Tamandua tetradactyla: one gene and its partner. The main gene of each other region encodes a partner of the protein of the gene in region 2 in a complex. Links are inferred from orthologs where the notes say so. Each region holds a gene or a part of one and is shown on either strand. Other genes may lie near its edges. The genes, in order: PIP5K1C and TLN1.

Region 1 (15,164 bases), on a different chromosome or scaffold from region 2:
TCCCTCGACCTCTGGGCTCCTGTCCTCACCCCCACGCTCTGTGCTCCTCACACAGCCAGAGGGCGCCCATGAGCATCTGAGTCAGGGCCTGTCCCTCCTCTGCCCACAGCCCTCCATGGCTCCCACTTCCCTCCAGGGGGGAAAGCCCAGGCCACCAGGACCTGCATCACCTTCCCAGGCCCCTCCCTGGCCTCCCCGCCTCCTGCTCTCCCCCTCCCCGCCTCTGCTCCAGCCACAGGGGCTTCCTCTAAGACGCCAGGCTCAGTCCTGCCCCAGGACCATGGCACAGCCTGCTCCCTCTGCCCCAAAGGCTCTTTCCCTAGAGATCAGTTGGGCTGACAACTCACTTCCTTCAAGTCTTTGCTCCAATGTCACCTTCTCAGTAATCTTTCTATTTAAATCTGTAAAACGCCTTCTCTTCCCCCCTACCCACACATCTGACAACCCCATCCTCTTACCTCTTTCACTTCTTTTTCTTTCTCCTGTCAGACTTACCCTCCTCTCACCCAGGATACAATTTACAATGCAATTCACTCATTACATTTGTTGTTTCTTGTCTGCCTTCTCCAAAACATAGACGCTCTGCAAGGATCGGAATCTTTCTCTACCCTGTCCCTTGCTGAATTTACACCCCACCACCATCACCAAAGCCTAGAAGAGCACCAAGTACACAGTAGGTGCTCAATAAATGCTGTTCCCCGGCCCAGGCGGCCCCTCCTCCCAGTCGGCTCCCTCTGACCTCAGCTCATTCCAAAGGGTGTCAGACTCCGCCCTGAGCAAACACTGCACCCTGGGGCGCCCGGCCAGGCCCTAGCAGGAAGAAAAGCCACCAAATGCCCTCACCGTGGACTTTCCCCAGATTTTGAGGCTGGTGGAATCTCCCAGGCCCTGGCCTTGCCCCAGGTTCAAGCCTGAGTCAGGGAGGCAGGACTTTTACAAGATGCTCAGTCTGGGGCATTTGTTCGGGGTAGGGACGCTCCCTACCCCACTCTTGCATTTCGCCTCTGGAGTGCCCCCTGCCCTTGCTCTGCAGCCCTAGGCCAGCACCTACCCTCTCTAAGCCCAGATTTTTCCATAAAACGGGAAGTGCAACCAGCCTCATTCTCAGTTCCAAAGTTGAATGTGGGGGAAGGGGGGCTTTATCCTGTCCCCTACCTGATGGAGAATCCATTACCAACAATATTGCAATACCTTGGAACCAGGTGACATTTTAGAGAGCAAAAAAATAAATAAAAATAAAAACTGAGATGGGGCTAGAGGAGAAGAGGCTGGAGGCCAGGTCTGGGTGACTCCATGGGTTTTCTCTCCCAGTCCCAGGCATGGTGGGATCTGACAATTCACTCGTGTCCCCCTCATCTTCCTGTACATCACCCCAAAGACCTCAAGTATTCCTCCTTCCAGGATGACCCCAAACTAGAAGCAGGCTCCGCGACCAGATCTCCTGGGCCCCAGGGGAACACAGAGGCTGGAGGCTGCAATCTGACACTCAGCTCAGCAGGAAGCTTCCTTTGTCCCGCCTGCTTGGGCACAAATGACCCAGAAAACTGCTGTCAGCGGACCCCTCTGCTCTCCAGGCTCTGGGCTTCCATTTCCCTTCTGCCTCCTCGGAGCGCTGAGTTCTGCAAAGGGGACAGCTGGGCCGACCTCCGCCACTGCCTGCCCGCATTTCTGAAGTTGCCTGGGAAAGGGGTCCAGATAATTCCCCACCCCGCGACACGCTTCCAGACCCTGGAGTTTCCAGGAGCTGGGAAAGAGGAGATGCAATTTTCTGAAAGTCCCAAAACAACTTCTCTTTGGGAAGTTCCAGGTATTAGGCTGCCTCCCCACTGTGGCTTCTGGCTGCAGCAGGAGGCAACCCTGAGCCTTGGGGGGCATTGACATTCCCTATAGTTTGGGGGATCAGAGACAAACCTGCAGCCTGTGCAGCTCCCCCCACCCGGCCCGGCCCCACCTGGGACAATAATGACTCTTTCAAGTTTTGGGCCGCGGGGCCCTGGGCAGGCTGCCAGTCACGGCCAGAATGATAATCCCTTGGAAACTATGTCAAATGCCCACACAGGAGTGTCAGCTTCCTGCTTTCCGGGGAGTTCGGGGGAGGTGATTGGGGTGGGGGTGGGGGTCCCAGGACCCGGCCGTGGAGATGGCAGGCAGATCGAGGTGCCGGGGTGGGGGTGGGGGGGCAGGGGCGGGGGGTATCTTACCTGGGTGAGGAGCTGGGCAGGAGCCAGGGCCCAGGTGCCCACCTGGCACAAGGGGTGGGGAGGGGACCCGAGGACTTGGCTTTGGACTTCCCACCTGTTTGTCCAATTTCTCCTCCCTCGTGGGAGCAACAGTAGGCGGGCAGGGGTCCCTGCCAAGTGGAACCAGCGCAGGAGAGCAAGCCAGTGAGGGAGTGAGCTAGAGGCCGGCCCCCCTGGCTGGTTGGGTGTGTGGCTCTGTCGCAACGTGGGAGCAGCTGGCCTTAACCCCTGCTTACCCGGAGACCAGGAACACCGAGCCTTGCCCCGTCTGTGGCATTCACAGCCGCACCCCTCGGCGTGAACCAGAAGCTTGGCACATAGTAGGCGCTCAGGAGATATTTGCCGATCTATTAAGGAGTGAACAGTCTATGCCTCGTGGCTTCCCCTGCCCTCACCGTCCGCCTTGACCTTGGACGGCCAAGCCCTGACCCTTGCTGTGTCTTCCCCCAGTTATGCTCTCCCCTCAGATTGTGGCAGGGTTGGCTCATTCCGCCCACAATGCTGAGCTCACATCCTGGTCTACCCCTTCCGAGCTGTGTGGCCTTGGGTAAATCACACAACCTCTCTGGGCTTCAGTTTCCTCATGGGGAAAAAAATTTTTTTTTTTAATGAGAACTGGGCAGGGCGACAGTCACTCAGTGGCAGAATTCTCACCTGGCATGCTGGAGACCCAGGTTCAATTCCTGGTGCCTGCCCATGCCAAAAAAAAAAGAGTACCTACTTCCTAGGATTATTTCAAGGATTAAATGAATGAATACATATAAAGTGCTTTTTGCTAGGCATGCAGCAGGCCTGCTCCATGCGATTAGGTAGTCACTACCCACCCATGACTGGTCTGAATTAATCAGACGTACTGTGAGTGCAAACTACAGGGTGGATTTTGAAGGCTTCACATGCAAAAATGCACAGAAAACAGCTCACTGATTTATATAATAAGGAATTTATATTGAAATGATATTTTGGACATATTGGGTTAAAGGAAATATGTTATTAAATTTTATCTCAACTGTTTTTTTTTTACTTTAGCTACTAGACAAATTTTAAGTGACATCTGTGGTTTATGTTATAGTCCTATTAGAAGGTGCTAGAATAAGCATTCCATAGTATTACCTTCTGAGTCCTGCCTTTTCCTATCACGTGGGTCTTTATTTTTATTCCTTTGCGTTTAAAATATACACAACTTGAAATTTCTCTTTCTAATCATTTTAAGTGTGCAATGCTAAGGCATTAGTTACATCCACAGCATTTGTCTTTTTTTTTTTTTTTTTTAAGCATTTCTTAGCGGCGGAAAGTATCTTCTATCTTAGTCATTTGCTTGTTCCCCTTTCTGGAATATAACCTGGTTGGAGTCAGGGATGCCTCGCTGTGCCGGGTATACGGTAGGCGCTCAATACGTTCTCATGGATGCGTGAGTGAGTGAAGGAACAAACAAACCAACAAACCGACGGACGAATGAATGAAAGGATGAACTACGGGGAGGGGCGTGGACAAAACCCGCCAAACCCCTCCCACCTGCAGGCGGCCCCGGGCGCTGCAGTCAATGGCCGCTCTGGCCACAAGGGGGCGCCGGAAACCAGCCCACGGCCCCAACAGGCAGCCCTCAGTTTTCCACCCCGCCAAACGGGAATGGAGCAAGGAAGCAAGGGATGCCCCTCCTCTCTGTTCCCTGCAGCCTTATGCCTCCCCCCACCGCCTCCAGCTTTTTCTTTTAAATGTAAATGTTTTAATGAAAGACTTGCATGCCTTTCAAAGAGTCGAATAATTACCATTTCCCCAAGTCCATTCATTGGTTCATTCCCTTTTCTTAGCTGGTTAGTTTGACATTTACGTTCACGTCTCTAAGTAACATGTCTGTTTTCACCATTTCCTGATGTTTTAGTTTCGGCATCGAATTCCCAGCAGGAGGGATTCAATCAACCCCGAAGATGGTTTTTGTCCCCTCCTTTACCTCGGTTTCATTCATAATCGTTCACCACCAGCAGCCCCAGCCCTTCTCCAGTTGCCTTAATCAATGGTTCTCAAACTTCGTGGGGCATCCAAATCCCCTGGGGCTCGTTAAAAGTCACGTGTGGGGGCCGCGCCCAAGAGTTTCAGACTTGGGGGGTTGGGGAAGGATGGAGAGAAGAACTCACAATTCTAACAAGCTCCTGGGTGCTGCTTTGCCCACCCCGGGACCCCAGTTTGAGAACCTGCACTCTAAATCTTCTCTCAAGGCAGATTCAGGCTGACTCACGACTTCTATCCGTTTCCCTTTCCTAAAGAACTCTCCTTGGTGTCTTTGCACTGGTCCATCTGGCCCTGTCCTCCTCCACCCATCCCCCACCCCACCCATAGGTGTCCTCCGGAGTCTCTTTCAACCCCAACCCCGGGATTCCCTCTGCCCTCTCCTGGACCCTGTACTTGATATTTTCTCCTTCCTTGACGTGCTTTCTAACTGGCACCTGCTCCCGGTTCCTTGGCTGCCTTTTGTCCTCAAGTCAAAACACCAAGGAGCAACTCAGCCCCTGTGGAAAAACAATTTAGTGGTTTGTTCTAGTTTGCTAGCTGCTGGAATGCAACGCACCAGAGATGGATTGGCTTTTAATGAAAACTCCTAGCCAACTGCAGATGTAATCAGCAACAGATGAGGTTCACATGCCATCAGCTCATGTCGGCAGCAATAGAACTAGGCACCTCCCCCTGGCCAAGTTGACACCTGAACCAAACTACCACATGGTTCTTCAAAGAGTTACACGTAGAAGTACCACGGAATCTGACAATCCCACTCCTAGGTACATACCCCAAAGAACTGATGGCACGGCCTTGGACGGATATCTGTACACCCATGTTTGTTGTGGCATGATTCACCAATAGCCAAAAGGCAGAAGTAACCCAAGTGTCCCTTGGTGAATGAATGCAACAACAAAATGTGGTCCATCCAGTCAAGGGAATATTATCCGGCCATAAAAAGGAATGGAATTCTGATCCACGCGACAACGTGGCTGAACCTTGAAGACATGACATTGAGTGAAAGAAGCCAGACCCAAAAGGATGGATATTGTCTGACTTCACTTACACGAAATAACCAAGACTGCAAATTCGTAAGCCAGAAAGTAGACTCGAGGTTAGCAGGGGCTGGGCTGGGGTGGGGGTGGGGGGTTGGGGAGTTAGAGCTGAGCGGGTGCAGAGTTTCTGTTTCAGGGGAATGGAAAAGCTTTGATGACTGTGGCAAGACATTGTGAACATAATTGCTGCCACTGGATTGTGGGTTTGGAAGTGGTTAAAATGGGAAATTTTATCTTCATATGTTAGCATGCATATTCACTCTCCCACTCACTCCCCCCACCAAAAAAAAGAAGAAAAAAAAACCCAAAACACCAAGCACCTCAAATCCCAGCCTGCTTGACCTCCCAGGGAGTGAGGTGCACATTTTCTGGGGTCAGATTCGTCTGGATAAAACATCCTGATTCCTCTCTCCTCTCTAACTGGGAGAACTGGCTCCACGCCTGCCCCCCCCCAACAGAAATCATTCATAATTGAAAAAAGCAGCGAGAGCAAAATGTATGAATACCCAAATCAGGGCATTGGAATGAGGAACCACCTGATTGGTTCTTTGGCTCCTTCATAAACCCAACATTACTCATTCTTAACAAACCCCACAGTCACCTCTAACACCATAAGCAGCGCTGATTTCGGCATGATTCTCCACGTGATTCCAAGCAAGGGCTTTAACTCTCTGGGCTTCTTGTTTTCTCATGTGTAAAGTGGGGATGATTTTACATCCTGCGGTTGACTAATAGGTAAAATAGTTATCGTCTTTCGGTGCCAGGTTGTGCTAAGCCCTCAGAGGATATTAGCAGCCAAAAAGCAACCTGTCTCTGATTTATGGAGAAGCCGTGTGCACAGGCTTTGAGCCTGACACTCAAGCACTCAAAATTGTTTCTGTTACTGGGATATCGGTATCAATATCAAATGTTGAATATTAAGCAGCTATATTAAATTTTGAATATTAAAAATCAACATTAAGTGGAATATTATCAGCAATACTCTTAAATATAGATATTAAACATTGACTATTAAGTAGTAGTGTTAGCTGTTGGATATTAAATATCAATATGAAAGCGGAATATTATCAACTCCAATATTCAGACTACTGAATATTAGAAATCGCAAATGTCAAATATTAATATATTAAACATCGCATATGGATATCAGCTATCGATATTAGCATTGATATTGACATTAGTATTAAATATCAACACTAAAATAGAATATTATCAATATTAATATTAGCTATCCATACTAAATATGGGATATTTATATAGCAATATAAAAATCAAATATTAAATATCAATATTAAAAATTAATTTACTATCAACATCGATATTATGTGTACTATTAAACACTGAATGTTTAAACAGCGGTACTTAAATGTTGATCACTGAACACCACCATTAAACTGAATATTATCAATATTAATATTAAATATAATGCTAAATATCGACTATGTAAATAGTTTTATAAAAGTCAAATACTAAATACCAGTACTGAATGTTGAATAGTAACACCAAATATCAATATTAGCATTGATATCGAGATCAGTATTAAATTTTGAATACTAAATATCAATATTAAAATGGAATGTTATCAATGGTGATATTAAATATCAGTATGAAATACCAAACATAAGTAAAAACAAAGGCTGAATATTAGATATCCATATTAATATAAGATACAGATATAAGCATGATATAATATTAAACGTTGAATGCTTATTGAACTTGGCTAGTCTCAACATTAATATTAAGTATCAGTAGTAAACACTGAATATTTTGATATCAATATAAATGCAAACATTAAGTATCAATATTAAAAATATTACTATTAGAAATGGAATACTTAAATAGCAGTATTAAACCGAATATTATTATCAATATTAATAAATATCAACATTAAACGTTGGTTATTTAAATACCTATATGAAAGTTAAATGTTGAATGCCAATATTAAATGTTGAACAGCACTAAATATCAATATCGATATCAATGTTGACTATAAAATATCAAACCAAACGTCGATTATTAACGTCAATATTAATATTTTATTAATGTTAGCATTGACGTCAACGTCCGTATCGAATATTGGAAATGTCACTATTAGATGAGAATGACGCTGCACTCCCAACCCTGGACGCCGGGGGGCGCGCGAGGAGCTCCCGAGGCCGGGACGCACGCGGGCCCCGTCCCCGAGCCCCGATTGGCGGCGCGCGCTGTGCGCCACGGCGCCCGCCTGGCCCCGCCCCAGGCCCCGCCCCCGCGCCCGCGGCCCGGCCCCCTCCCTCGCGCTCCAGCCGGCAGCGGCGGTTGTTGTTCAGCGGCGGCGGCGGTGGTGGTGGTGGCGGCGGCGGCCGCAGCTTGGGTCGCAACCTCGGGCCGCTCGCCCGCAGGTCTGCGTGCACCGCCATGGAGCTGGAGGTACCGGACGAGGCGGAGAGCGCCGAGGCGGGGGCCGTGCCCACGGAAGCGGCGTGGGCCGCGGATAGCGGGGCGACGGCAGGTAACGGTTTTGGACTCCCTCCCCTCTCCCCGAATGGACCCGCCTGAGACCCCCCCCCCGCCGGGCCCAGTGGACCCGTCCGAGCGCTGAGGGGCGCGGGACCCGCCGCCTGCGGGAGGCTGGAACGTTCCACTCGGGGGCGCTCGCGGGGGGGACGGAGCGCGCCACGCCGGGGCCCGGGGGACGCGCCGGTGGGGAGGATGGAAAGCCCCGCCCTGGGACGCTCGGCGTGGCGCCGCCCACTCGGGGGTGTCTGGCGGCGACCCCCGGCCCGGAGGCGGCGGGTGGGCGTAGGGCCCCACTCTGGAAGGCCGTGGGTGGAGCAGCCCCTCTTGGAGGTATGCGGGGAAGGTGGTCCCCACTTCCCCCTAGGGGAGGGGTGGGTTGCGCCACTAAGAGCGGGGTGGGGGAACGCCCCAGGCTGGGGGTGCTTGAGGTGGTCTTCCTCCCCGCACTTTTTGGCGAGGGGGTGCTTGCTCTGAGTGTGCAGGATGGCCGGGTATCTCCATTATGGTGCCCGCCACGGGCAAGGGAGTGACACTGCCCTAGATGCGACCCCCTTGCCTGGACCCCCTCCTTTGGGGTGTCCCCCTCTGCGAGTTCCAGCTTCTCGGCCTCAACTCCTCCCCCACTAGCCATCACCTTTTTGGGCACACTTTGTTCATTTGGAAGGGTTGGAGCAGCTTGGGGTGCAGGTGGGGGCTCTCCGGCCATCTGGGTCAGCCTCCTGGCTCTGTCGTTTCTCTTTTTTCTGGAAGTCTTCAGACGTGGGTGCAGGTGCACTGCCCATTTCCTTACCACATTTCCGGATTGTGGTTTACCCACCAGTGAAACGAGGGCTGCAAAGGGATGACATTTGAAGGGGCCTTCAGTGCTGAGACCCCACCAGCAGGTCCTGGGGTCTTGGTGCCCTGTTCCCCAAGCCTCCCTGGGCACTGCCTGGCCGCTGTAGTTGGGGAAAGGGACCATGGCTTCCTTGTGTCCCACTGCTCCTCTCCTGGGCAGGCCTGGCTCACCTTCCTACAGAACAGGTGTGGGGAAGTAGGCAACCTGGCTCAGTGCCCCCGGATTCCCTCCTGCCCGGGTTTGGGGTGGTGTGCAGAGCTGAGCCACAGTCTCAAGGAATGGCTCCTTCCCAGTCGAGGTCGTACGCTACCAAGTAGGAAGTTTCCGGTTCTCTAGAATTCTCTGCTTCCTCCCACCCCCAGCAGCCCTCGCAGGCAGAGTCTCTGCAGACACCCACTTGGGCACCCGTCCTGCCTTCTCCCCCTGGGCCTCCTGAAGCTTCCTTGGCAGGCGAGGAGGTGCCTGGGAGCTGGGAGAAGCGTCTGGGGAGAGAGAAAAAACACAGGAGAGAGAGAAACACTTGGAAGTCTCCCCCCACTCCAAGCCCTCACCGCACCCCACCCCCTGGCTCTGGAAGGCTCTCTTCACTTCCTTTCTCCGTGCCATCTGGAGCCACTTGGTAGATGACCCGGTTAATTCCGACGAGCTGGTCGCCTCGTCCTTGCTCTTTGCCAGCAGTTGGTCGCCTGACCTGGCGAGTAGTGCACGTGGTGGGGGCACCTGGGGAAGTCAGGGTCCCTTCTCTGGCCCCTCTTCCACTGTCAGCCCTCTGGCCTGGGCTGCTCGGAGGCTAAATAACCCCAGACTGGCTGACCACAAGAAAGCAACACCGCAAATGTTGTCTTCTCACAGGGCTCTGCGAGCCAATGGGGGCGTGTGTGTACATATTGTCCCCTGCTCTGGCTGTGGCTGGGTCTGAGCGTCAGGGACCCCCCGAGAAGGAGCGCACCCTGCCTCCCTGCAGTGAGATCCTCCAAAATCCAGTTCCACTGGCCAGCCATTCATTTCACTCATTTTAAAATTCAGAGCTGCTGCCCCCCTCCCCCCACCCCAAACCCATCTTCCCAGTGTAAGTGCTGTTAGCTGCTTGTGCTTTCTTTATTGCTCGGACAAGGGTATAAATATGTAAATGGATCTGTGTGTTTTTTACTAAGATGGATTCGTTGTATAAGTGGTTTCTCTCTCAGCACTATTGACATTTGGGGCCAGAAAATTCTTTGCAGTGGGGTGGTGGGGGCACGCTCTGTGCATTGTAGGGGGTCGAACAGCCTCCCTGGGCTCCTCCGCCTGCTCGATGCCAGCAGCTCCCCTTCCCCCAGACATGACAGCTAAAAATGTCCCTAGTCTCCATTGAGGGTCCCCCATGGGCAGACTCACCCCTGATGAAAACTGCTGTCCTGTGCCTGTCCTATAACTTGCTTTTTCATCTGTAAAAATCTGGATTTCCTGTCCCCATCTGGGTTTGAATCCCAGCTGCTGTGGGACCTTGAAGGGCGGCTGCCTCAGTGGCCCCGTCTGTAAAATGGGGTCGATGATAATACTCACCTCAGAGGGTGACCGTGGCCTCGACCCAGTGTGAGCACCTCACAGACCTTAGGCTTACAGCCAGATCAGTGTTGACGTGTGTGCAAAGCCTACTGTAAACCTGCCTGAGGTTCATCCAGTTGTAATTATGCTGTCGTCGTTGTCACTGAACGTGACCTGCGCCCGCAGACACCTCCATTTCTAGCCGAGGGATTCCCAGCCATGGAAGGACCAGGTCCAGGGCATCCAGGCTTGAACCTGACTCCTTGATGCCCCACAGCTTGCCTCAAAGATTGGTGTGACTCGTGGCCTGTCCAACAGGGGCCGAGAGAGGCGGGGGGTTTCCTCCCTATGGTGGGGCTGGCTCCCGATGTGATCGGCCAGGCTGATTTGGGCAGTCCTGTGGGTGCGAGACAGGGTCTTTTAAGGGCTTAGAATCCGGTTCCTCTCCATGCATGGGCTTCTCACCCCCAGAGCATGGTCCAGGAGGGACTCGGGAGGGCTTGATAGAGGCTGTCCCTGCCGGCTCCGTTCATGGAAGGGGTCTCGGGAAGGCTTGGGGGTCGGAGATGGTCTCTGGGTGAGCCGCAGAGGCCGGCGACCTGCCTGGGGGCTGTGGTCCAGGAGTTCCCAAGCCTCCATCATGGTGACCCCTCGGGACAGTGTGCTTCGTTCCTGACCCCCTCCCCACCCTCAACCCTGGCCCCCATAGCGAGTGCTATACCTCGTCGGGTTTGCCTTCATAATTGGAACCCCCCCCCCCACACTTCTCCCTACCTCCTCTGCCTCCATTCCAGGCCAGCCCCAGTGTGGCGCGCCTGGGCCGGTGTGGTCATGCCTGCCCTGGCCTCCCCCCGCCCCAAGCTCCCTCCAGCTCATTCCAGAAGAGTTCTATCCCAAACTGGAATTTTTAGTGGCATCCTGTCCCTCCTCTGCCCACAGCCCTCCATGGCTCCCGCCTCCCTCCCCCAGGCGCTGCACGCCCTGCCCCATTCTGGGTGTTGGAAGAAACTGAAGACAACTGTCCCCTTGTAGCAGCCCTGAGCCCTGCATGTGTGCAGGGACCTGCCCCGTCCCCTCCCTGCCCTCCCCTCCTCTGGCTCTCTCCCTCTCTCCCTCCACTCCGGCCACACCCGCACTGGCTTCCTCCAGCTCACCAGGCCTGGCCCTGCCTCAGGGCCTTTTCATGGGAATATTTTTCCCCCATGTCTATGTGGCTTACTTCCTTAACTTTTTCAAGTTTTTGGGCAAATGCCACCGCTTCCGTGGGGCCTCCCCTGCCCCCTGCCCCATTCCCTTGAGCCTGCTTTGTCACCATCGCATTGTCAGGGCGTGACGTGCATGGCTTTTCTTCCTTGTCTTCTACCCTGTGAAGGCAGAATCGATTGTCTATGTAGTCCCCTTCATGTTCCCTTTACCCGGAATGCCTGGTACCCCACTGGGAAACGTCAGGTGAGTGAGGGAGCCGGCTGCCGAAGAAGGAAGAAAGCAGGAGGAGCTGCAAAAGGGAATGGGGTTGTATGGTAGCCCACAACAAACTCTGGGATCTGTCTTGTAACTACTTGTTGAAGAGTAATTTGAAAACTATTTTTTTTTCTTTGCTTTGTGTATATGCTGTACTATACAATAAAAAAAGTTAAAAAATAAGAAAAAGGGAGTGGGGTAGACAGGAACAGCTTGCCTGGAAGGAGACATTTGTGCGAGCCCTGCAGGAGACAGAAGTTTCTGGAGCATGCAGAGGGCACAGCCAAGGCCTGGGGCTGGAAGGGTACAGGGTCCCTGGAGCTGCTAGGGAGGCAGTGGTGAGCCAGACCTGGGTGGGGAGCGACCCTTTCCTCTCGGGCCCACAGTTGGAGTGAAGGGTCATGGAGACATGATGCCCCTCTGTCCCTCCTTATGGGTCAGCAGTGGCCAGGGCTGAGATTGTGGATTTGAGGACTGGCGGCTCCCGGTTCTACTTTGACCGCCGGCACCTTGGTCCCCAGAGTGGGGAGGCCTCAGCACCTAGGCCTCCTGGGTCCTCAGTGCACCCACCTGTGCGTGGGTGCTGTTCTCTGGGCCACCGCGGTACTGGAGCGAGCTCGGGCGCAGGGCCCACAGGCGCTGACCTCCGTGGACGTGTCAGCCAGATAGAGCAGGAGGGCTTTGGGCTCATTTACCGAGGCTGGCGGTGGAGTGGACTTTTCTTCAGTCCCAGGATGGGCATTTATTAAGCATGTAATGAGCTCCTCCTGTGGGCCAGGTGGGGTTCCAAGTGTCGGGGCCACATCAGGGGCTGAGAGCAATGCCCTGGCTACCCCCATGGAGCCCTCAGGTCATGGGGTAGGACCCAGGGTGCGGGAGGTGAGCAAGGGGACACTTCAGGCCAGGGCTTGGCAGGCTGCGGCCCGTGGGCCAGATCTGGCCTCCTCTGGTTTTTGTAAATAAAGTTTTATTGGCACACAGGCCCACCCGTTCACGGGCACATTCCCTCTGGCGGCTTTCACGCTGCAGTGGCAGAGCTGAGGAGTCATGACACAGGCACAAGGGGCCCGTGGCTCCAGAAACACTCACTGTCTGGCCCTCAGCAGAAACAGTTTGCCATTCGCTAGATAAGATCAGGCTGGACAGCCATGAGTGTGCTGGGGAGAAGGAAGCAGGCCGTTGTGGGGACAGCGAGGGGCCAGGACCTGCTGGCCCGGCCGCCGAGACCTGGATGAGAAGGTGCAGCCACGGGCAGGCAGCAGGGGTGGTGGGCGCGGAGGCCGCAGGGCGGGAGGGCACGGGCATGTGGGAGCAGCAGAGGTAGAGTCGGTGTAGTCAGGGGGGAGCCAGGGGGCCTCAGCGGGTGGAAAGAGGTGAGAGGGATGTGGATCTCCAGGTGGATTTTGGCCTGAGCCTGGGGAGCCAGTGGCTGAGGGCAGAAGAATTCAGGTGGGGCAGGTCTTGGGGGACCCAGAGCTCTCTGCAATGCTGGAGCTAATAGTGGGTAGAGAGGGCAGTGGAGGGCTACTGGGAGGCTCCTGGGGCAGGTGGACCTCCCAGGAGGCTGGATGAGCTGGGGTACAGCCATGCACCCCCAACTGTTTCTCCCAAACTGAGGGCACTTGGTGTCCTGAGGATTCAGCAGCACAGAAAGAGGTGAGTCCCAGCCCTCGTCACTGCTCACCAAACAGTGACTGCGGGGCCAGGACATTTACACATGGGGAAACTGAGGCTCGATAGGGTCTCTGAGGGCCGTGAACCCTCAGGCCTTCCCTCCGTCCCTCCACCCACCGCTGCTGTCTTGGCCCTGTTGGGGTTGCCCGGCTCCGTGCCAACTGGGCGTGAGGGGTGGATGGAGCACGTGCAGGGATTATCCAGCTCGGGGATTAGGTGTGCGGGGGGTGGGGTGGGGGTGCTGCACCTACCTGCCCCCGCCCCATGGGGCTGGCAAGAAGCCTGGGAAGGGGGCCAGCTGCCTGAGCCAGCATGTGGGTGTCTCTGGGGACCTGGTGTCTAGACCTCAGTTAAGAGATAAAGAAAAGGACCTGCCAGCATTTGGCCAGCTCGGCACTGTCCCTCTCAGGCACATGCGGGCCACACATGTGTTTCCTGGCCTCAGTTCTGGAGGCCTGGGGTGCCGTGGAAGGTTTGAGGGAGCTGTGTGGGTCAGAGCCATCTGTGAGGTACATCCCGAAGGGTGTGTGGTCTGTGCCCTGTGCTGTGCCATGCCATGCTCGAGGGGACCAGCCAGAGATAGACAGACAAGTCCCCACTTATATTTTGGTGGGGGGGGGTGGTGGTGGTGCATGTAGGCAAGGAACAAAGTATATCACATGGTGGATGAGATGGGGGCGTGGAGAAAGCAAAGTGGAGGAAAGGGACATGGGGAGAAGCTATTTGAGGCCAGGCTCTCAGGGAGGTGACACTGAGCAGAGATTCATTGCAGAAATCTGGGGGATGGTGTATTGGGCAGAGGGAATGGCTGTGCAAAGGCCCTGAGGCAGGACTAGGCCTGGTGTGCTGGAAGAGCAGTGTGAATGAGGACGAGGGGGGATTGGGAGGAGGGGGCAGATGGGCGTGGTTTCAGGATTGACTTTGTAAGCAGCCTAGTGGGACCTATGGAAAGATTCTTGAGTGTAGGGGTAGAAGGGAGAGGAGCCTGATTTTGGGCTGAACACCTGGAGGGATGGAGTTCCCTAAGCTGGAATTGGGGTGGGGGAACAGGCATACATGCAGAGGAGGGGGGTTAGGTTTGGGGAAAGGTCAGGCACAGTGTGGGCGGGTTGAGACTTCCCCATGTGGAGACGTCCAGGGGTATCTGGGCCCCATGACTGGAGACAGGGGGCACAGAAGGCGCTGGTTTGGTTGTGTTCGTTGGGCATCGTCTCCATTAGGTGGAGCTGGTTGTGTGCATTTGGTGTCCAGAAACCTCTCAGGTGCAGAGGCACCGGCTTCTCAACAGGTGGAAGGCATTTACAGCTGCATGACCAGGTGAACTCAGCAAGGAGGCAGGCATAGGTGCAAAAGAGAAGAGGGGTCCAAGGGGGGAGAGAATTCATATCCCTACACCCACATGAAGCAACTTGTGCAGTGACCATTCCATACCTCAGTTTCCGCATCTGTAATATGGGATCACAGTCACCCCTGACTCTTGGGGTTCATGTAAGGATCGGATGAGCCCACATGCATGAAATAGTGAGAACACGGTGGGCATTGGCTAAAGGCTGGGAAATGGGGAACAGAGACATGAACCAGTCAACCCCAGCTTGTGCTGTGTGGCCTGGGGCTGGCAGGGTGCTGTATGAACCCCACATCTGCTGGGCACCGATGCCAGCGGGGCCTGGGAGCAGGAGGAGGGAGCCCTGCCCTCCATCAAGGACAGCTTAGTTGGTCATGGCACAAGTTGAGTGGGCTGCCTCCCTGGGCCCCTGGGCCTGCTACCATGATGCAGGATGTTCCACCTTCTGGCCGTGGGGCCTCACTGTGCCACTGGACCCAGCGTCTATCAGGAGAGGCATTGGGCATGTATCAGTCAGTGTGGCCTTGGGTGTGCTG
Region 2 (14,661 bases):
TGAGCTAAAAAAAAAAAAAAAAAGTTATATCTGAAATTACCTAGTCAATTCTTCAATTTTGCACAGGGGAAAACAGACTCTGAGAGGAAAAACTTTCAAGGTGGGTCAGAGAAAAAGCCCAGTCTTTTTAAGTCAGTCCTTGCTACATTTCAAACTACTTCTGAGTAAATACTCAGTTCTTACAGCAACTCCTCTTATGCTTTCTCCTTGTCAGCAAGTTCTTCTCAAACTCTGCCCTTCATCTCAGCTGCCTCCCCTGACAGTATTTTCAGTGCAGCTCCTGGCACGACCACCTCTTGGTGGGCTGGAAGAGCCACTGGAGGCAGCAGGTGGCACACAGATGGCAAGAAGACAAGTCTACCTGGCAGTTGATGATGGGATGGTCTAGGGATTGGCTGCTTCTAGCTAAAAGAATGACCAAGTCCAGGTGCCCATTCCCCTTCTGGCAAATTGCCAGCCCCAAGGGAGAAAGAGCAGAAGAAAAAGAAAAGGTTAGAAGCAGAAGTGGGATTGTTAGGATACAAAGAACAATTGAGAAGTAGGGAAGTTGGGAAGGGGTATGTTTTTGGAGGATGGGGAGGTTAGATGGGATGGGGTGAGAGAGCTGGAAATCCAGGTAGCAACAGGGGATAGGAGGCAGATGTGGGAAAGGTTTAGATCAAGGGTCTGCAACCGCACAGTTGACAAGACTGTTTCTGGCTTTATAAAATCTAGAGTTTCAAGACAAGAAACCATAGCTCTATCTTCACCCTCAAACAAGAGAGGATCTTCCCAGTTTCCCTTGTTCCAGCTCTCTGCGCGCGCGTGCACACACATACACACTCACATTCCTGGGGCATGTCTCCCAATAGCTGGACAGACCTGGCACTGGAGTCGCTGACCACGAATGAGGGCTGGAGGGTCAGAGAAGCTGGAGGAGTAAGAGAGCTGAGGGCAGGACTGAAAGGACCCTTTACCTCAGCTGAAAATGCATGTCTCCCCCCTATTTCCTCCGGACATGGACACCCTCTTCTCCCTCATGCACGGAAACCTCTGGTGGGACCCCGATAAGGGCATTGAGTCATGCCTACCCTTACTCCCAGGCGGTTCCTGAGCAGACATCCACATGGCTCCAAGAGAGAATGGAGCAATGAATTGGGGTGGGATGGGGTGGTGGCATGAAATAGGGTCCCTGGAAGTATGGGGAGAAGCAGTTTCTGCTCTGGCTGGGAAATTTGCTCCCTTTTCCCCATTTTTTTAATTGAATGAAACAGCAACACCATCTCTGTCTCCACCCCCCCCCCCCACCAGTGTCCCCCTCCCAGGGAACTCCTCCTCCCTCAAGACATTCCTGAAATGCATTCCAAAGGAGTTGGGCAATTAGGGGGGAGGGTGAGATGGAGGATAAGAGGTCAAATCCCAGGAAGGAATGGAATGTAAGTGTATTGGGGGAAGGAATTTGGGGTACATGGAGAATACAGTCTGTGTAGATAACCACAAAGGGAGCCGCAGAAAGATAGGGGGTTACAGAAAGGGACAAAGGGGAAGAGAAAACTGAAGGCAGAGCCAGAAAGTAAGAGGGTTGGGGGAGTAATACTCAGTCTGTTACCAAATTTGGCCTCTGAGTCCACAACTGTGGTGGTGGTGGTGGGGGGGGGTTGTGGGTGAGACTGACATATCCGGCCTCAAGCTGCCGGAGGCTCTTTTAGAGCTGGACTGGGCAGCTGAAGGGCTGGGCCTGACCTCCCCAATACACATCCTCCCCGCATACACCCCTATCCCATGCACACTTCTCTTCCCCAAACACACCCCCATCACAGAGCTCTTTCTCACAAAGCTACCTCCATGGCGTCTCTTTGTATATCTGTTATCTCAGTCACCGAGCCCTGACTCAGATGCCACTGCAGCCATTTGATCTTTCCATAAAGACTCCATCCAATGCAAGCAACTTCCCCTCTAAATACACCCCATCTCAAGCACACAGCCCCCCTCCTCCCAACATCCTTTTTTCCTTTAGGTATACATTTTCCTTCATTCACCCAGTAAGCATTCTTCATTCACTCAGTAAGCATCCCCAATGTGGGGAAGGCCGAGGGCCAAAACTTTCAGTGGGTGGGAAGGGAGATGAGTAAGACAACAGCTTTGCCCTCTAGGAGCTCCCAGTCAAGAGGATGGATAAGTCAAGTACAGAATTACAATAAAGAGCAGGCTGTGATAAGAGCCATCTGATTAGGTTAGGGAAGGTGGATAGGAAAAGTCCCCATGAAAAAGTTGTCCTTTGAAGTTAGATTAAAAAATAATAATGATAATAAAAAATGATAACGATCTGTCATTTATTAACTATATGTTAACTGCTTTGTATACAAAATTTCATTTGATCCTTACATGTAACAACCCTGCAAGGCAGGCATCATCTCCATTTTGACAGATTATTAAACTGAGGTTCAAAGTGAAGTACTTGTTCAAAGAGCACTTGTCCAGAGTCACACAGCTAATAACTTGTAGAGCCATGATCTGAACCCAGGCTTTCTCCACTAGGCCACTGGAGATGGGTCAGGGGTAGCATTCCAGGCAGAAGGAAGAGCATATGCAAAAGTGGAGAAGCAGGAAATTGTGGAGGAGCATTCGGGGAAGTGAGCAGGTAGGCTGGTTGAAGCATGGGTGCCCGCAAGGGAGCAGTGGTGGGGAAGTTAGGGTTAGGATGGAAAGGCAGGGGAGGACAAGAGAGGATAATGAGGAGTTTTACATTCTGGAGGTTAACAGGAGGCCAGGGGAGGCTTTTGAGTAGAGAAGAGATACGATCAGGACTGGATTTTTAGGAACATAACTCTGGCAATTACCTAGGAGATTGGTTAGAGAGACACCATATTAGCAAATGTAAGTGATAATAAAGCCAAGATTAGAATGGTGGAGAGGAGGATGTCACTTTAAAGAAAGTTTAAGAGGTAGAACTGACAGGACCTGACAACAGTCTGTCCTGTCAATCTTATCAGACAAGGACTCACGGTTAGGCTGGAATTCCATAGCTTCCTGTCATTGGTAGTAGCATGAGATTAGGTAAGAAAATGGGAAGACGGAGGACAGATCAGGCTGGGCTGGGAATATGAGGATGAGGCTGTGGTTAGGGTGTATGGTTAGGCGGTGGGAAAAATGGATACGTGGTTAGTAGGCAGGTAGGGGCAGATGGGGTGTGGTCAGTGAATGCATCAATATGGGGAGGGAGAAGACTAGTGGTGATGACAATAGTAGGAAATATGAATATATGATCAGTCACTGGATCAGGCTGGGGCAAGGGGAGGAATGAATATGTGGGCAGTAGATGTCAGACTCAGAGAGAAAGATGGAGTGAGGTCAGAGGCCAGATCAGGCTAGAGAGGGTAGGGAAGAAATAAGGCTGTGGTTAGTGGCCAAATTAGGCTGGAGATGAGGGTGAAGGGACACTGGCTGTGGCTAAGAAAAGCTGGAGTTTGGGGGTGGAGTGTGGGGTATAGCCAGTGGCAGGGTCAGGCTGGGTATGGCATAGGGTTGTGGTCAGTGGCCGTGTCAGGCTGGGTGTGAAATGGGGGTGTGGTCAGTGGCCTGGCTGGGCGTGGGATCAGCAAGACCCAGTTTCCTCTTTGGGTCTCATTTCCTCTTTTCTGTTTGGGGAGTGGGGGAAGGGGATCTGCAAATGGACCAAGAAATTCAAGGAGGCTAAGAATTAAAGGATGGCACACAGCAGGGACTGGGGTGTTCAGCAGTTGCGTTGTGCTGAAAAAGGGTGGTATAGATGGAGTGGGTGAGAATGGGAGAAGAGTGCTTTAAAATGATGGGAAAGCTCAAGTTTTGGGGTGAGGGTAAAGTAAGGTCAGATGTGTGGATTAAGAAGGGGAGAGGGAAGCAGAATTAAGGTTGGGAACTTAAGTAAAATGAATAATAAGAGAGGGTTAAAGGCAAGGGAAGTATTCGTGTGAGGGAATGAAATGCAGGGCCAGGAATGACAGTTGGAGAGATTTAAAAAACATTTAGAGAATGAGAGGACAGTGAGAGGCAATGGGGTGAACTTTTGGGGGATTCAGCCATTCTCTTCACCAGGGCAACAGTGTTTCCTTGGCCGGCTTCTCCCTTAGTCACTAATCCCTTCTCCCTTAGTAGTCCCCCATTTATGATTTGGCTTTATACATTTCTTGGGCCTCTATCCCCACTCTACCTCCCTTCTTTTAAACAAAAGAGTCTAGGAACTCCAGTCCTCCAACTTTTAATGACCACAATACGAGCCCTGGTCTTAGAGGATGGGATAGAGATGCTGGAATCCTAGACACCTGCACTTCCAACTGAAGCCCAGAACTCTAGCTTGAATTTAGCCCAAGAAGCTCCCTGTGACTACAAAGGAATGAGACCTCTGCCCAAAACAAGGGCACCTACCTACCAAGAACTTCTTAAATTTCACCAGAACAAGTTCAACTACCCTGACCTCAACCATAACCGTAAAGTTGCCCCTAATTCCTAACATTAACCCCAACCCTAATTTATTTTTGATCCCCAGTACTGGCTTTGACATTCATCTCTTTCACAGCAGAGATGGTAACCCAATCCCTGATCTATAATACCGATCTGATTTTTACCTTTGGGAACCCCCTCAACCTTAACCCTAAATGTTGATCCCTAAACCTAAAGCTCATGTGTAACTTGATTCCTGACCCACTCCTTCACTGCTTATTCCTCATACCTAACCACGCCAACGATCTTTAATCCCTAAAATGTAGGTCTAACCTAATTCCCATTTGTTGACCCCTTAACTCTTAACTCTGACGTCTGCTAGCCATCCTAAAAAACAAAACCATGATCTTAATCTAAACCTTGCCTACAAACCGGACCTGACACATTAATAACTCTAAGTCTTAACTCCTAAAGCTAACCTTGAATCCTAAACCCTATGCCACTTAATACCAAACTCACCCAAAGCTTTCCTATCCACATAGCCGCTATCAACTAACCCCAAAGCCTATCCGCGCCCCGAGCTTCACTGCCAACCAAGTCCTCCCCCTCCCCCAAGCCCATCTCAGGAAAAGGACTGCTCCCAGGAAGGGCTTGGCTCCAGCAAACAGCCTACTTAGTTCTGAATCCAATGCGACATTCACTAACTGGAAGCTGACCTCTCCAAGAGGATCCGAAACAGGAGACGCAGGAAGAGTCAGCGGCCCCGCCCGCGCGCCAGCCCGCCTCCCAGGTCCAGCCTCGCGGCCCCACCCCGCCGTTCCCGCTCGGCCCCGTCCGGCCTACCTGCGCTGCCCGGCTCTGTGCCCCGCCCGCCGGCCCGCTACCCCGCTCTTTCTCCCGGTCGTTCTCGGGCTCCGGCCTCGCCCTCCCGCCGAGAGACACTCTCTCGATCACTTCCGTCCCCGGAAAGTCCCCCACCCGCGGGCGGCGCCCTGAGCCCGCGCTCTATGGTTGCGGGGACTGCAGGAAGCTGCTCTGGCGCCAGCTCTCGATGCTCGGCAGCCCGCCGAAGACGCGCAGCCCCTCCCCGGCAGGAAGCAAGGGTGCGGCGCGGTCGGACGAAAACGTCCGAACCGTGCCCAAGTTCCCTTTTAGTCTCTAACCCTTCCTTTTCTCGTTTTGGGCGAAGGCGGAGCCGGATCCCTAGAATCCCCGCCCCGTGGGTGTGAGGTGGCCAGCAGGAACGTCCGCTCTAGTTTGCATAGCCCCAGGGACGTGGCGCGGCCCCAAGGCCACTTCTGCATTGGGAGGAACTTCATGTCCCAGAATGCCATGAGGGCTATAAGCGTCACTTCTGTTGTGTTGGAAGCTGAAGAGAATCGGCTCTGGGAGGCGCGTCAGACTCTAGAGGGGAAAGCCCGGCGGAAAAGAAACCCTACGATATTTGGGGGAGGCATACTGGGCTGGAGGTTATTCCTGGGGCACGGGATTTGGGGCTGGGTAGATGGTCGAACCCCCCGTGGAAACCGATATGGACCTGGCGCTGGGCCCCGGTGACCAGGACCTGCTGGACTTCCTGCTAGAGGAAAGCGGAGATTTGGGGGCGGCGTCCGAGGAGGCCGCCGTGGAGGTTCCGGAGGAATGGGAGCTGCCACTCGCTGAGGTGGGTGAGAGTTCTGTGTCGGGGAGGCGCGGGCCGGAGGGGGAGGGGGGCATTCGTGAAGCAGAGATTTAGTAATCAGTCACAGCCCATTAATTTGAACCCTGTGCAGGTACTGAGCGAATGGGAGGTGGAGGATTTCCTGACCTCCCTGCTGAGCCCCCCACCATCGTTGAACGTTCTCAGCTTCTCCAACCTCTGTCCCGTTTACCATGATCACACCTACTCCCTCCCACAGGAATATAGCTCTGTAGATCTCGGTGAGTCTGAAATAAATGAAATTTGAGAGAGGAGAGGGCTCATGGACCTGGCTATTCTTACTTTCTTGTTTGCAGATAGTGGGAGCTGTGGAAAGAAGGGGCCCCAGATGACTCCATTGCAGGTGGAGGAGCAGGCAGAGCAGGTACTTGACTTATGGGAGGATTAATCCCAAATTGTATGGGGGGGGCAGGATTCCCCATTTTCTGACATCTTCATGCAACTCTGCTGCCCACCACCCCATAACCCCAGGAGATTGGTAGTCTGATACTGACCGATGAGGAGAAGAGGCTATTGGAGAAGGAGGGGTTTACTCTGCCTGGGACTCTTCCTCTCACTAAGGTAAGAGTCCTATAGGGAGCAAAGGCTTGTGGGGAGGGGACACTGTATGAGTGCCAAGCAGGTCAATCCTGTTAATTGTATTATCAGTAACTTGTAAAGGAACTGAGGTAAGAAATTTAGCAAATTTGTTGCTTGCAGGAAGCTGGGGCATGTAGTTAATATGCTAGAAATAAAAGCAGATGCTGATTTTGTGGGGTCTGAAGCTTATACAAATTTTGATGTTCTTTTTAAGAAAAAAATTCAAAATTATCAGTGCAACATTAGTATAAGGTCTCAGCAAAGACTGTGCCAAGTGAGGGGCCCTGAAACTTAGATATCTATGGCTTTATGGTAATCCACCTCTTGCTGAATGGTAGAATTGAGCTTTAGAATTTGACAAGGCTGAACTCAACAGTTTAACGAAAATAAATGTAAATTCTTGATTTTTAAGTTACAGGCAATGAGTGATAATTTCACAAGCACAACACTGTGATACAGTGATAAAATCAATGTTCATTGACAGAAAGATTAAGGGAATTTTAACTTCTTAAAAAAGTACAAGATGAGTCATTAACATGAAGTGGCTACTGAAAAATGAATGGGATCTGGAGACTCTATTGATAGGGGTGTTGCTCTCCTTAATTAGTGAAAGCATTTCTTAGTGTCCCGTTTGGAACCCAGATCATTGACAGTTATTAACAGGATGGAGTCCACCCTGAGGAGAGCAGGATGATGAAGAATTACACATTTTGAGCAAGTTTTACTTTTGTTTTTAACTCTGAGGAAGATTGTGAAGAAATGTCAAGTGCCAAATAGCTAAACATGGTTTATTCTACATGGTCCCAGATATCAGACACTAAAGCCCAATGGATAGAAATTAGGAGGCAGATGTTGGCTCAGGATAAGAAAGATTTTAAACTTGATCTGGGTTTGTGGGAGTATTAACATCTGACACTTGGAAGCATTCAGACAGAAGTCTAGTGCTTGTTGGTCAGGGACACTTTGGAAAAGGTTTCCTACATTGGGAAGAAGATTGAACTCATTTACTCTCTAACTCTATGGTTCCATGTTTCTCTGATGTTCCTTTCCTCTCTTCTCCCAGGTGGAGGAACAAGCTCTGAAACGAGTGCGGAGGAAGATTCGAAACAAAAAGTCTGCTCAAGAGAGTCGTAGAAAGAAGAAGATGTACGTGGGGGGTCTAGAAAGCAGGTATGAAGGGGAAAGGGACTCTGAGAGGAGTTGGGGGAGGAGAGATAGTTGGCTTTTGAAGGGAAGATACAGGCCATATGCTTGTCTTATTCCCCTAGGGTGCTGAAATGCACAGCCCAGAATCTGGAGCTAAAGAACAAAGTACAGCTCTTGGAGGAACAGAATCTGTAAGCAACCCTCCAGTATCAGTCCCTCCTCTCCTTCCCATTTAATGCTGTCTTTCCCCTGCGCCACACTTGATTTCTCACTGGGCAGCTCCCACATGTGAGGCTGGTACTTGGACTTCTCTTGGCTCTGATTCCAAGAAGCTTGCAGTAATGGGGAAATAAATTCAGAGTAACTAAGGATAAATAAGTACCAAGTAAGAGAAAGGAGGAAAGCAAGAAAGACCTCATGGGGCAGATGGCATTTAATAGGGAGTAGTATTCTGGGAGTAGTGAAAGCATTCTAGGCAGAGAGAATAAAACATAGTCCGGTTTGATTGGAACCGTAAAATGGTAGAGTTGGGACCAGAAGGTAGAGTGCAGGGAATGCCTGGTGAATATGATCTGCCTAGTTGATAGGGCATTAAAAAAAAACACTATAGGTATTTGCAAAGGAGTATAAGTCAGAGCAAGGCAGAGAGGTTTTTTTTGTTTGTTTGTTTTAATGAGGAACTTGAGACATTTTGTTGGCAGAAAGGAAGAAGTTATTGGTAAAAATAGGAAGAAAAGATAAAGGATCCAGTGCATAGATGGAGGGAGTGGCCTTAACAGCCAGGCCAGGGGTTGCTCACTGTCCCTGTTTTCTTCAGGTCCCTTCTGGATCAGCTGAGGAAACTCCAGGCCATCATGATTCAGATATCAAACAAAAGCAGCAGCAGCAGCACCTGTGTCCTGGTGAGGATGATGACGGAAGGAGGTCCTTTTCCGGGAAATGGGAGCAGGGTGCAGTCTAGAACCTGTCTTCATTTCTTTGTGCTCCAGGTCCTCCTCTTTTCCTTCTGCCTCCTCCTCGTGCCTGCTATGTACTCTTCTGACACACGGGGGAGCCTTCCAGCTGAACATGGAGGTGAGAGGCTTGAGGATACCATTAAGGTACAGGCTGGGGAAAAGGGCTTGGGCCCACCTCTGAAGACCTTCTTTGTCTCCTCAGTGTTGTCCCGCCAGCTTCGTGCTCTCCCCAGTGAGGAGCCTCACCAGTGGGAATGGCCTGTCCTGCGGTCAGAGGTACCAAAGGACAGCACAAACCAGTTGCTGGATAGCTCAGACCACGTGTTCCAGGCCCCTGGCAACTCTTCCTGTCTGCTATATCACATACTTCAGGCTTCTGGTGCAGAGACTCCCCTGAGGATGCCAATCCTTGACTCCTTCTCAAAGCCCCTCTGCCCAAGTCCCATCCTTCTGCAGGTAAATCTCACAAAAGAAAGGAGATGGCTTCTTACCCAGAGCCCCTCATCTGTGATCTTGCAGGGCAGATACTCAGGCTAGATGGAGAATGGAGGGGAGGGTGCTCAGCAGGAGCCTGGGCTCCCAGTTTATATCCAAATAAAAAAGAATGGGAGAGAACTGCCTGGGGGCTCAAATACACCAGACTTACTGGCTTTTTGGGTCCTTTATTAGTATCTTGGTGTTTCTCTTGCCCCATGAATGGGCCTGGGGGAATCAACTGGCCTCCTTGAATATTTCATGCAGTAGGAGAAAGTGGTGAGGAAATAAATAAATATGTAATTTTGATGCCTGGATCACCCCAACCCCTCATTACTGGCATAGCTGGGTAAGGGAAAGGGAGGAGGCATGATTGTCCTGGTGGCTCAGGGCTGCAGGAGATTTTGGGGGAGGGAGAAAAGGCCAGGCTGGAGGCTGGGCTGTTATTGTCTTCCTCCCATAGTTCAGAGGGCTCACTCTGGGCTCAGGTTTGTTGTGACTTCCTTTGGTCCAAATTTAGGCCCTGTGCTCTGTTCAGCTATTGGCTTAGAGGCCTTTTTATGCTGTTGCTGTTGCTGAAGGGCCAGCTGCATGGCCCAAATGCTAAGTGGCCGCATGTAGGCCAGCGAGCGGAACACCTGGTGCTGGCAGTAAGCCTCGGGGGTTTGAAAGGCCAGACCCAGGCGCTCCCACACGGTGCGGTAGCAGCCTTCAGCTGTCTGGAAGCCCTCCCAAGTCAGCCCCTGTGAGGAGAGATAGCAGTTATATATTGGTAACCCCTGAACAGGCAGTCATATATTGGTATCCACAGAACAGCCACTTCAGTTGGACAAATGGAGACTATAGGCTCTCTGCCATCAGGGAGCTCCCAGCTGGTAGGGAAGATAAACCTGACCCAAGCAGAAGACTGAGGGAGATAGGAATTGGGATGCATGCCTGGGGAAAGGGGGAGGCTTTAAGGATAAGATGCCATTGGTTAGGCCTTGAAGAAGTTTGTTAGCTGAGGAAGTTTGCTGACTAAGGTGCCAATGGTAGGGAGGTGGGGAGGGGAATGCATTACCTCCTGGATCATGGTGGCTGCCAGCCCGTAGACCACACCTACCCAGACTTCATCAGACTGGATACTGGATCTGTCAGGGACACCATGGGGCTGCATCCCATTCACAGCCCCCATGGCCCCTCCAGCAAAGGCCTGGACATTGAGCTCGAAGATGGTTTGGAGAGCACGGACCACATGAGGGGTAGGAAATACCTGGAGGGGCAGCACAGAAACATGGTCCCTTATACTTGCTTCACACCTCCAGGGAGACTCCTCATTTCTCTCTGGCTCCTCTTTCTAGTCCCTCTCACCTCAGTGTCTCCTTCTCCTAGGCCACAGGCCTTCAGGAACCACTGGCCAGCACACTGATCAGACATGACACTACGAGACTGAGGCTGGGAGCTGCTATCATAGTTGTAATAGCGGCCTGGGGTAGAGGAAGAGCAAAGTAAGGCTCCCTGTATCCCCAGAGCTGCCTTAAGATACTTTAGGACCTTCCAGCCACCCTCCCCCAACTCACCATTCCACAGCAGCCTCTCATAGGCCTCTTGGCCTCGGCTGAGGATGGAAGAAAACTTATCTTGGATGTCCTGTGCCCCACACAGAGCAGCCATCTGGACCATCACAGCCACAGCTGCCAGCCACAGCCCTCCACAGTAAGCACTGATCAGGAATATGGGTTTGGGAGTCAGACTGGCAGCTCCAGCCACTCTCTTGCAATAAAACAGGAAATAAAGTACCCTTTCCTGAGCCTCACCATCCCCTGGTGCCCAGTTCCTCATCTCAGATTTCCTGGAACCCCCTATCTCCTAACCTGGGTCCTGTGGCAACCCATGCATCATAGGTCTGGTCTGCATAGCCTCCATTCTCAATAAGTCCATCATGGTCTTTGTCAAACTTCATTTCAGACTCCATCACAGCCTAGGGAAGGGACACAGATATTGAGGACCTAGATACTAAAGAAAGATAATGTCAGCTAGGCTTTCCCCAGAAGCCAGTCATGACTCTGGCACACTGGCCACTGTACATGTATCCCTTACCAGACAAATAGGCCACATGTCCTTCAGGAAGTCCTGGTCACCCGTCAGATAATAATCCCGATACACCTGCAGTGTAAACTTCAGGTTCAGATCCTTCCAGTCAGCGGTGTCGTGGATCACATATGCATTGACCCGGAGCCACGGCTCATCATCTGGGGGAGGGGAGGGTACATGGTTAATTGGCACTGGTGAGTAGGATACAGGGTGTAAAAGTTGAGGGAGGGAAGATGACCTTGAAGTAGAGGGCTTTTTACCTGGGTCCCCAATATCATGGGGGATAACGTTTCTCCTTTTAACAGATGCCATCACCCCACTCATCAGGTACCGACGCCGTGTCAGGTCCTCCCTGAGAGTGGCCAGAGCTGGGGAGGCACACATATACTTGGAGTGTACTACCCCAAGTTGGCAGGAATAGGCAAACTTGGGGTGGGACCCAAAATTGTGTGTGTGGCCCTAGAAGGGAACCAGTAAGCAGGGCGCAGATACGTATTAGGGAGAAGGGGATGGAAAAGAATCTGAGTGGCCACAACAGTTTAGGGGTGTGGGGAACAAGGGAGTTGAAGAGGCATAAGAGGGACCCTCACCCATGTCATACTGCAGGCTGAGCTCAAGCTTGGGCCAAAGCATGACGAGGGCGAAGGAAGCATAGAAGTGGACATCATATGTGTTGTACATGCGATACTCCTGGCCTGTGGAAATGAGGGAGACATACTATCACTAGAATTCCGCTTCTGCTTCATAGCCCCCATTCTAACTTGTTCTCTAGAATTGGATGTGGGGCACTGTCAGCTGTCCTCACGTGCCACTTACCCTCCCATCCCAATCAGTACTCTGCCATCATCCTGCCTTGTTATAGGACACTCACTGGCCTTGAGGGTATGGCCTGCCGTACTGTAGCCCACTGGTAGCCCATACCCTCAAGGTAGCCAAATCGACCATATTCCCGAAAGATGGAACAGAGCTGACTCATGCTTCCCACCAGCTTCTCGGATATGGAGTCCTCAGGAACTTCCAGCCATACGGTGCCTCCATCAGCCAGGAAGTACAGTTCATTGAACAGTGCAGATTTGTACCAAGCAGGCAAGGATCTGGGGAGTTAGGAGAAGGAAATGGTCTAATGAGTGTGGATGCCCCAAGAAAGGAAAGATTCTGGGGTTCAGTGGAGAGTAGAGACACCAAGCAAATCTCATCACAATTCTGCTGACTTTGGTGGGTGGAGAGTAAATCAAGGAATTTCAATTGGAGTGGATACCTGGAAGAAAGGCAAGGTGGCCACAGAGATGGGCCCCACTGGTACCTGTCCTCCAGTACTGGGCTCTGCCAGGCTGAGATCCTTTCTTCCCAGTCTGCATACCGGCACAGTGCATAATGGCTAAGGGCAGGTGCTGCAACACCATCTTTCCCAAAGAATCTTGTGTACCGCCTGGGGTGGGAAAAAAGGGGAGGGATGAGAATATGGGTCCCAGGCAAGGCTCCAGCCCCTTGGATCCCTGTACTTTCTCAGTCCCATCACCTGTAGTGGGTCTGACCCTTGGCTCCAAACATGATCCTGGGCATGTCCCAAGCCAGTGAGAATTCCAGGCGGCACTGGCCTCGAGGTGGAAGCTTGCCCGTAACACACACAGCCCCAGCAATACCTGCTCCTTTCTGTGAGGGGGTACTTCGGCCTGAGAGAAGAACAAGAGAAATCAGGACAGCACCCTTCAGCCCCAGGGCTACGGAGCCCTAATGTGGAGACAAGGCCTGTTCATTACATTCCACCCAGTTCCCAAGAGAAGGACAACCTCTCTTCCCACCACCTCCCTATCAGACCCCCCCATCACCAGCAGGGGAGTCCAGCTGTCCATCCTGAAGCAGATCCTGCCACACCTGCTGCCCAGTGCCATCAGGGTCAAAGGCTGTGATGTGGGTTACCGTTGTATCTGCCTGTTAAAGGCCAAAGACACTGTGAGGAGGAACTCCACAGGTATGTTGGATTCTGACTAACTTTCCAGTACCTGTTATATACTCCTTCCAAGTTCTAATTCAAGGACTGTGGTGATTGTGGGACTTAGGAGGTGAGGAAATCAAGAGACCATGGTAGGGTGGAGGGGGGTTTCAGGGGCCAGGGTGAGGATAGGGGCTCAGAGGCTAAGGGACAGGGCACGCCCCTCCATTACCGTGAGTCGTGCAGCCACCGCCATTGTGTAGGGGTTTGGGTGGGTTGGATGATGCAGCAGCAGCCCCTGCACAGTCTCCCCATCACGCTCCAGACAGAAGGGCTCATTCCACAAACCGCCTGGGGCATCATCCCCACCCCCCAGTCCATTCCGCATGGAGAACATGATGGATACTTCCAGGGCTTCGTCCCCTTTGTTTTCCACATCCCACACAAAGACTCCTACAGGCAGGCTGCTGTCCTGGGGGCAAAATCCGGATTCAGGTGGTCCCCAGCACAGTCCATCCTGCTCCTGCTCTCCAAAATTATCCTTGGGTACAGTGGGACTGACTCAAATATTCCCCAATATAGTCTCTTCTGTCTCCCACTTCCACCTCTACATATTCCCAAGCAGGATACCTACCAGGAAATGAAGACCAGAACCAATGGGGCAGTGGGCCTGGGAATCCAATGTGATGTTCATGGCTCCAACCCCCTCCCATTCATAGGTTATGGAATTTCCAGTAGAGGCAGAACCCGGATTAGGGAGGACAATGGAGGGAACACAGAGAGGGAGCCTCACCTGGTAGTCATGGGGCAAGATGGGTGTGATCTGGCGGCAGGTGAGGATGACACTCTGGCCAGGGAGTTGATAGACAGTCCAGGCTCGGGGATAAAGGGCATGGTAGAAAGCAAAGTACCCACACAGGCCCCAGTTCCAACTGCGCAGGACACTTGGCCGCTCCAGAGACAGGACTTGCTGGTACACAGTCTGCCCTTCCCGACGCAAGCACACTGTGAACTAAATCAAGAGGGCAGATAGGCTGGAATAGGATAACCCACAGGCACCTCAAACTGGACTTCCCCTCAGAGTAGCTCCTCCACTTCCAAAGACTGCAAATTGCACCACCAGCTTCAGTGATCTCCCAGGCCTTTCTTCCAAGCTCAGGGAGTCACACCAAGTCCTGCTGCCTCCCACTCCATCTATTTCCCAGGCTTCCTCTCCTTTTTCCATTACTATGTTTTTAGTGCCCTAATCCAGGCCTTCACCACTTCTGCTTTCACTTTCTGTTCCTTCTCCTCTAAATATCAGTAATCTTTCCTACATATAAATCAAAATATGTTAGTCCCTGCTTATAATGTCCCAATGAACTAAACCTCTCTGGATCGTGGTCCCTACACTAACGTTTAAC

Evidence for each region.
Region 1: the proteins of TLN1 (region 2) and PIP5K1C are in contact, whole or in part, in a crystal structure (PDB 1Y19), measured with the Mus musculus proteins. The link is inferred for Tamandua tetradactyla from reciprocal best matches to the Homo sapiens genes TLN1 and PIP5K1C. Residues at the interface, in NP_035732.2 of Mus musculus: Pro209, Val210, Gln211, Leu212, Leu214; in NP_032870.2 of Mus musculus: Pro646, Leu647, His648, Tyr649, Ser650, Ala651.

Annotation. Positions count from the first base shown.
Region 1 is NC_135337.1:78,776,212-78,791,375, forward strand, and holds the start of PIP5K1C (phosphatidylinositol 4-phosphate 5-kinase type-1 gamma), read left to right. Parts: upstream 1-7,586; 5' UTR 7,587-7,681; coding exon 7,682-7,775; intron 7,776-8,036; exon of another isoform or gene 8,037-8,113; intron 8,114-15,164. UniProt on the Homo sapiens protein: Catalyzes the phosphorylation of phosphatidylinositol 4-phosphate (PtdIns(4)P/PI4P) to form phosphatidylinositol 4,5-bisphosphate (PtdIns(4,5)P2/PIP2), a lipid second messenger that regulates several cellular processes such as signal transduction, vesicle trafficking, actin cytoskeleton dynamics, cell adhesion, and cell motility.
Region 2 is NC_135328.1:60,051,025-60,065,685, reverse strand, and holds the start of TLN1 (talin-1), read right to left. Parts: upstream 5,583-14,661; 5' UTR 5,242-5,582; intron 1-5,241. Other genes in the region: CREB3 (cyclic AMP-responsive element-binding protein 3), read left to right, coding at 5,903-6,061, 6,147-6,318, 6,394-6,461, 6,569-6,658, 7,740-7,846, 7,945-8,013, 8,640-9,315; GBA2 (non-lysosomal glucosylceramidase), read right to left, coding at 9,726-9,995, 10,313-10,504, 10,603-10,718, 10,812-10,954, 11,106-11,212, 11,332-11,483, 11,586-11,693, 11,916-12,020 and 6 more. UniProt on the Homo sapiens protein: High molecular weight cytoskeletal protein concentrated at regions of cell-matrix and cell-cell contacts. Involved in connections of major cytoskeletal structures to the plasma membrane.